Bombyx mori: one gene and its partner. The protein of the gene in region 2 binds, or shares a complex with, the protein of the main gene of each other region. Links are inferred from orthologs where the notes say so. Each region holds a gene or a part of one and is shown on either strand. Other genes may lie near its edges.

The links. The genes of interacting proteins can lie anywhere in the genome.
Region 1: COP9 signalosome complex subunit 7b (region 2) and COP9 signalosome complex subunit 8 share a complex: the UniProt entries of both Drosophila melanogaster proteins name them as parts of the CSN complex. The link is inferred for Bombyx mori from reciprocal best matches to the Drosophila melanogaster genes CSN7 and CSN8.

Annotation. Positions count from the first base shown.
Region 1 is NC_085110.1:11,097,396-11,099,658, forward strand, and holds part of COP9 signalosome complex subunit 8, read right to left. Parts: intron 2,252-2,263; coding exon 2,001-2,251; intron 1,352-2,000; exon of another isoform or gene 919-1,351; coding exon of another isoform or gene 730-918; intron 149-729; coding exon of another isoform or gene 3-148; intron 1-2. Other genes in the region: chitin synthase A, read left to right, coding at 3-148, 730-918. UniProt on the Drosophila melanogaster protein: Probable component of the COP9 signalosome complex (CSN), a complex involved in various cellular and developmental processes.
Region 2 is NC_085114.1:3,666,135-3,672,038, reverse strand, and holds the start of COP9 signalosome complex subunit 7b, read left to right. Parts: upstream 1-2,284; 5' UTR 2,285-2,676; coding exon 2,677-2,871; intron 2,872-3,007; coding exon 3,008-3,260; intron 3,261-4,930; coding exon 4,931-5,151; intron 5,152-5,904. Other genes in the region: zinc finger protein 615, read right to left, coding at 1-270, 727-952, 1,261-1,386. UniProt on the Drosophila melanogaster protein: Component of the COP9 signalosome complex (CSN), a complex involved in various cellular and developmental processes.

The DNA.
Region 1 (2,263 bases), on a different chromosome or scaffold from region 2:
AGGTACCCCAGTTTTAAATCGTAAAATGACATTGAGAAGGGAGACATTGAAAGCTTTAGAGACCCGTCGTAACTCTGTAATGGCAGAAAGAAGGAAGTCGCAAATGCAGACACTTGGCGCTAATAATGAATACGGTGTTACTGGAATGGTATGAAATAGTTAACATGCTGTTTTTTTTGCTGAAGATGGGCAGAGGGTCCGCCTACTGTCGTGGTAAATAGTTAAAGTTGTTTAAAGTCGTCGTGGCCTGAAGAATAAGACGTCCAGTGCATTCGTATCTTGCGATGCAACGGTGTTCGAATTCCAGGCCGATACCAATTTTTGTACTGAGTTACGTACTCAACAAATGTTCACGATTGACTTGCACAATGAAGGAACAACATCGTGTAATAAAAATGAAACCCGCACTTACTCACTTAACATCAGATGGACCGTGAGATCGTCCACCTAAGCTTAAAAAAAAACAGCCCATCAACATCACGTATGCGTCAGATATGAGGTATTAACACTTCGACATTACCACACAACTGCACGGGATCACATGTTTGCTTCACAGCAGAAATAGGCAGAATGGTGAAACCCATCCCTGCCGCAAATATCTCCATCAGTATTTAGTATAGTATTTAAACAATATTATATTTTTAATTATTTTATTATTTAGTTTTATGATTTATATTGTTATTAAGTTTTTCCGTAACCATGGTATTCTAATGATTGTACTATTTTCAGCTCAATAATAACGTTGGACCTCGTCATAGAGCATCGAATGCTAATATTTCAGTGAAGGATGTATTCTCGGAGCCCAACGGAGGACAGATCAACAGGGCCTACGAAGCCTCACTCGGGGACGACGATGACTCAAATTCCATGCGACTTCAGCCAAGACAAAACCAAGTTTCATTCCAAGGGAGGTTTTAACTAAGAGTTGCCAAAACAATCGTCCCAAGTGACTTATTCTTACTTTAAAAAAGGATAGGAGTTATGAGATTACAATTAAAAATAACTGCTTGTGATATTTTAAAAATCTTTTTGAATTTACTAGTGTGACTGGAGTAAAAAGGAGTCACTGAAAACTATTTTAGAATTAATAGCTTTATTTTAATTAAGAATTTATTTAGCTCTTTCAATTTACACTGCCAACTTATTTTACGTTTTTTTTTATTCCATTATAATCTCAGTAGAAGTTAAGAAAACCATTTTTTTTTACCAATTATAGACTTCCAATTTTGTTAATAAATGAGATTAAATATAAATGACATTCTTTTATTTTAACCTCTAAGTTCTTTTGGATATTGCAATCGCAATTGAATGAACTGAAGACCAAATTTAGTCTCAAATTCGAAATATTTTCCTAAAACCAGAAATTTTAGTTAAAATGTGCCTTTGTTGTAACTACATTTATATATTTGAATGATTAAATAGCTTTCGATTAAGAGCAGGCTTTGAAGTATGCAACAGAGAACCGTCTGCTTTGTGTGCAATTATGTAGTAATTTTTTTATCCAAGTTTCATTAGCTTTTGATGAATATTTGGATTAGTGTTTTATTTTTCTGTATTATTATTTGGGTTTCAGCTAAAACTTATAGATCTATTATTTAATACAATATTTTCCTAAAAAAGATAGCATAGATATCTGATCTATGATATATTATTATTAATACCAATTACAATTCAAAATGTTCATATTGAAAAAGTTTATGGGTATTTAGAAACACACCACCTACTTGCAAAAGATAACTTGCAAAACAGAATAGTATTGCAATTTATATAAGATGTTTTATTTTAACAAATTATCAATTAACTTATTGCAGTTCTTGAAGTAATTTGATGACACAAAATGGAGGCATTTAGTATTATTAACTATCATAGCTAATGCCACTTTCCCTCAAGGGGTTGAGAGTTAAGGTTTAGACTCTACAGGCTGAGTTGCTTACTTCAAAGCCAACTTTGGGATTTTAATTAAGATCTAATCTAGAAACTGATTTATTTTCGAAACTTACTTAATTTTCTAAGAATGACACAAATTCTGTTAGTTTGAAAAGTTGATCTTCACTAGAAGTATGCAATGGGGCTGGTTGTGCTGGGGGTAAGGGATTCACTGTCATGCCATCATCATGTAGAGTCCACCTGCGATCTTGACAGACTTGTAATGTGGCTTCCCTGCTGAGACCAATCATTGAGATCAGTTTATCTATTTTTATGGAACTGTACGATCTTCCGATAAGGTTTAGAGTCCTTTCTCGAACATTTTCTGTGAAGATGA
Region 2 (5,904 bases):
TTCCAGGTTCCTGCTTCGTATGTAACAGATGATGTTGTTGTACTGTTGTTGTTTGTATTGTTTCTGCTTGACCCTGTTGATTGTTCGCTTCGGTTAAACTCTTCAAGCCACCATTAAGTATTGTATGGTTTAACTGTGATGCATCAATGACAGGAGTCGCTATTCCTTGAGCTTGCAGTGCCCTTTTCATTAGAATTTCATTGCACTCTTCTGCCGTCAGTTGTAGTGGTCCAAGGGGAGTCATAAACGACTTTGATGTTAAATTTGTTGCTGCAATTTATAATTTATTTTATTGATTTGGTTCACATAAGTTTATTGTTATTAAATATTAACATGAAACCTAACAATATTGGTCAAATTAACCTTTTTTTTATATTTTACATGTTATAAAATTGTTATGAAACTATAAGAAAATTGACAGAACATGCTTTTAATATTTTCTTCACTTTTTAGTTTTAGTTTATTTTTCTCTTTTCTAAGAAAAAAACTAATATCTGCATTAATAAAATCAGTATTTTGTTATTAGGAGTCAATTTAACTGAGTGCAGTATGAATAGATAAATAAGAACTGTCAGTAGATTTTGTATTAAATACTTACAGAGAACTTTATTTATCTAATTTAAGCTTAAAATTAAAATTTAATTTGAATTTAAGCAATTAATGCTAAATAAGCAAAAAGCTGACTAGTAAGCGATTGTAAGCCTTAAAACAGTTAATAATACCCACTATGTATTGTCGCTGTTTGGTTTTGTTGTGAAACCCTGTTTATAGTATGGGTTGGAGCTTCATTCAGAACAAACATAGCTCTCCTGGCCGTCACCGGAGCTCCTGCTGTGACAACCCTTGTGACTTGAGCCCCCGAGTTGGATACTGCCACAGCAACAGCACCCACTTTATCTTGGACTTGCGGTGTCTTGTGAGACATAACAGTGAGTGTTGTCTCTGGAGACACCTGAAATGTTTTATTTATTGTTGATTATTTGTTTTTATTTATAAAATGATTTTAAGTCTTTACTGAAATGAAACCTATTTTGAAACAAAATAGCACATATAAGTACACAATTTCATAATAGCTTTTTTTTGTTGCTAAATATTAAAATAACTAGAAAATTTACTTCAAGTGAAAGCTGATTGTTGTTAATTTCATTCAATCTTGCTTATGGTTAAAACTTTGAGAGGATGCACTTTGAAATTAAAGTGCACAATAAATGTTTACTCTAAAGTGCTTCAGTTATTTAATTTATTTTATTTAGACCTTACCGTACTCCCAAGCGAATAACTGAGGCTGCTCGGAGTTTCGACATCGCCCTTGGTAAGGTCCGCGGAACTCGTAAAGCCCCAAGAATAACCGAAACCCGAAACATTGTTCGGTGTTGGCATACACATTTTCACCACAATATAAACTTCACTACATAGAAATGTAAACGCACTAACACAGATTCACTATTTGATAGTAAACAGTCCTCATGACAGTTTTATCATTGCGAACATGTATGTACGACCTCACAACCACACACGCAAAACGCACTCATTGACAGCGACGCCGAATATCAAGCGAAAACAACACTAATTTACAACTTGTGATGGTGTTCTGTGTAAATAACGATGAATCTTAACTTTAGACGACATCTAAATTAGTTTAATCAACCCAATATAAAAGGCGGCCCAGAACAACGACGCTTCAACGAACATTGACACGCACATTATTTACAATAAATAGTACGTTATTAGAAGTCATATATGCATTTATAAGCTTCATAATTACATATAAAATAAAAAACACTTTCGTATGTCAAAAAAAATTGGAGAAAATCCAGATTTTTATGAAAACAATTAATTTATCGCACACACAAAAAACCTGACGCCATTTTATTATTTATGGTCATTTGAAAACTGAAGCATAAACTTTTAAATTTCTAGTTTTTTTTTTGTCAAAGACAAACTTTATAAAATTCTTGAAATTAGTTTATTTTTTAAGCCCTATAACTAATCAATCAAAGCTGTAGTTTCACTAAAAGATTTTTGGTATTATGAATAAATGTACTTCTCTGCATACTGTTCTACTTTTGAATTAATTTCTATTTAAATTGGCTGAATTTTTCATCCTAAACGCTTTAGAACTAACAAAAATTACGTGATTTAATTACACCACATTCTTTACATGAAATGTCAATATTCTTGGGGTATTTTTTAATTTATCTTAGTTACTTGATACATAGGTAATAAATTTATGCACTCATAGTCTGACTTCTTTGCAATATTACTAATTAAGACAAGCTCTTCAAGAACTCAAGTACCTGACTTTTCATAGATTTAAGTATAATCTGCCACCATCATGTTCTTTATGGAAATTGAATACATATTTTATGATAGATTTCAAATTTGAAGTAAACTAAACCTACAAATAAATACATCCGTTCGTTATGTATAATAATAATAATATTAAAGTATCAACAGCTAGCAATATAAATGTAGAAACAGCCTGTCATCAACTGTCACTGTCAACTTAAAATTACCAAAGAAAGTATAAAATACCTACCTACCTAGGTAGGTACATAAATATAACAGTTTAAACCTTAAATCTGAGTTTGATACTTTTTCCCTAACATATAGATTCAATATAGAATTGACCTATTTCCCGTTTATGAAATAGACATAGACGTCTTAAAATTCAAAATGAATCCGATGTCAATGGACCGAGATGAACCTTCCTCATTGTTATCATTTTCCTCCAATCACCCTCTAGAACAGTTTGTCCTTTTAGCAAAGGGAGCTAAAGGTTCTGCGTGCGCTGAACTCATCAAACAGGTTCTGGAGGCTCCAGGAGTGCATGTTTTCGGCGAGCTATTAGAGATGCCAAATATTAAAGAGGTTAGAAAACTTACCTTTATATCGATCAATTAATTCTAATACATTTTTAACCATTAAATGTATGAAACTGTCCGAATTCTATGGGTAGAAATCAATTTGGCGCTCTTGTTAAAATTCATTTTATTGTATTTTTCAGCTGGAGAGTGGACCTTATGCAACTCATTTAAAAACTCTTAATTTGTTTGCCTATGGCACATATAAGGACTACATTGAGAACAAATCGGACTATTTAGAATTAACCACAGTCCAGTGCAAGAAATTACAGCATCTGACCATTGCAACACTTGCAACACAAGAGAAATGTATCCCTTACAGTGTGTTACTTGAGGAATTGGATATTAAAAATGTTAGAGATTTAGAAGATCTTATCATTGAAGCTATTTATGCAGGTGAGTTGATTTTCCTACTATAGTGTATATACAAACAGTCCCTAATAAAAAAAGTGTCAGAGTTGTTGATTCATAAAACAGTATTAAAATTCAAGTTTGACTACATGCATTTTATACCTTGTTTTTTTCTTTTTCGAGTTATTCTTGTGGTGTATATGAGAAAACAATTCAGTGCCGAATTTGATGTAGTATCTAATTTATTTAGTTCATGTTTTATATAGATTAAAGCCACATATATAAAATGTGCATTGATAAAGAATACATATACACTAAATAAGCATAACTTCTAAAGTGTCCATATAAAAAAAAATCATTAAATCTTAAATGAATTTAGCTACCAATACAAATAGGAAACTGATGCTACAATGACATGAGCCATGAGCCCTACTATTATGTCTTCAGATAATTTAATGCATCTTAGTGGAATAAAGTTGGTATGAAGTCGTCGTGGCCTAAAGGATAAGACGTCCGGTTAATTCATGTTGAAGCGATGCAAAGGTGTTCGAATCTCGCAGGCGGGACCAATTTTTCTAATGAAATATGTACTCAACAAATGTTCACGATTGATTTCCACGGTAAAAGAATAACATAGTGTAATAAAAATCAAACCCGGCAAAATTATAATTTGCGTAATTACTGGTGGTAGGACCACTTGTGAGTGCGCGCGGATATCTACCACCGCCCTGCCTATTTCTGCCGTGAAGCAGTAATGCGTTTCGGTTTGAAGGGTGGGGTAGCCGTTTTAACTATACTGAAACTTTAGAACTTGTATCTCAAGGTGGGTGGCGTCTACGTTGTAGATGTCTATGGGCTCCAGTAACCACTTAACACCAGGTGGGCTGTGAGCTCGTCCACCCATCTAAGCAATAAAAAAATTACTTAATTAAAAAAAAAGTTTTATCATAAAAAATTCAATTACAATTTGAGGTTTTACAATATAACTATTGGTTTACCTTATAATTACAAGTACTTATGCTTAGTAAGTCAATGTTATGTTCCCTGTTTGAGTTTGTATGCCCTGAAAACAGTTTAACATCCTTTTATTTATCCATATAAGCATATATTTATTTTGATTTTTCTTTTACTATTTTATTTTGTTTTTACCTTCGTAGAAGGGGAGATCAATCTATTCCATGTGGTAGTAAGTAGTTGTAGGGAAACAAATAAATCTGAATGTGAATATAGCAAGCAAACATCAATAAACAATTACTTTCTAAAAATAGCATTTTTGCACTTCTCATTATGACCATGGCAACTAATTAACAATGCATTCCTTTTAATTATTACTTGTATAAAATTAAGTTCAATAAAAACCTCATTAGACAGATAGTGTGTATTCTTTATTTTACATCAATATAAACATAAATACAAAACATACATCACACAAAAGTAGAATGGGCAGTCTTATTGTCAAGAGGATTCTATTCCAGATAACCATGAAGTGGACAAGAATCACATGAGGAAATAAATTAACCGCAGTGTACTTATTAGTTAAAAGATATTTTTTTAAATATGCACAATATAACAATATATAGATATACAGTATAAACTCATTAGGAGTAGAATACCTTGACGATTTGAATATACATACATGATGTTGAACTATTTTACTGTTACAATAGACCACTCGCACGATAATTGGAAATAATTTACATACTATACTTCCATAGACATAATTCACGGCAAGTTGGACCAGGAATGTAAACGTGTGGAAGTGGACGTGGCCCTTGGCAGAGATGCGCGGCTTGAAGATGCAGCTTCCATTGCTGATGTCCTGGCCGACTGGTGCAATGCTTGTGAAGCAGTACTCAATTCTGTAGATCAACACATACAGAGAGCTAATCATCAGAAACAGAAGGCTATCAGACATCAGCAGGGTATAGAACAGAAGGTGAGTGTTATATTATCTAAGGTGCATGTATATTATATAACAATTCCTAAAACAAAAACATCATCATCAAATACAATGTTTGACCTTCTAAAAATCATATAGTTCTTATAAAAATCTTCGATCAACAATACTATTATTGATCAAGCTCAAAATAAAAAAAAATACATAACTTTATGACCCATTCGGAATGTAGGTTCACCACAAAGTATCAATCAGCAAGAAATTCAGAGCTTGCACTTTTAAAGATAAATGTATATTTACAGTTCTGGATGGAAATAGTCTTCAAAATTCTCTTAACTATTATTTTTTATCCTCCATATATATACAATTAGATTCAGATCCATAAGTAGACATGTGACATAGACAACTGCAGTGACACAGTTTAAAGGAGCATGCATTCGATTCACTATGCTTAGTGCGAGTTTTTTTACTTCTCGATCTTGTAAAAGTTAACCGTGTAGGAGTTAGAACAGTGTCCCTTCGTTTGCCGCTAGGTTCGCTGTTCCAACTTCATACTTATTTGAGTTAACTTTTACGCAATCGAGAAGTAAAAAAACTCGCACTACGTGCACAGAACACTGTCTATAGAAAGCAGTTTAGTGTCGCTTCTGTAATTGCTCGAAATCCTTTTTACCTTTCGAATATTTATCAATTCATAGTTCTGTTCAGCTTATTTGTAGAACTAGATGGTAATGGTCACTTTTACAAATATCTTAAATTTCATGTTTTACTGTAATTGTAAGTTTTAATATA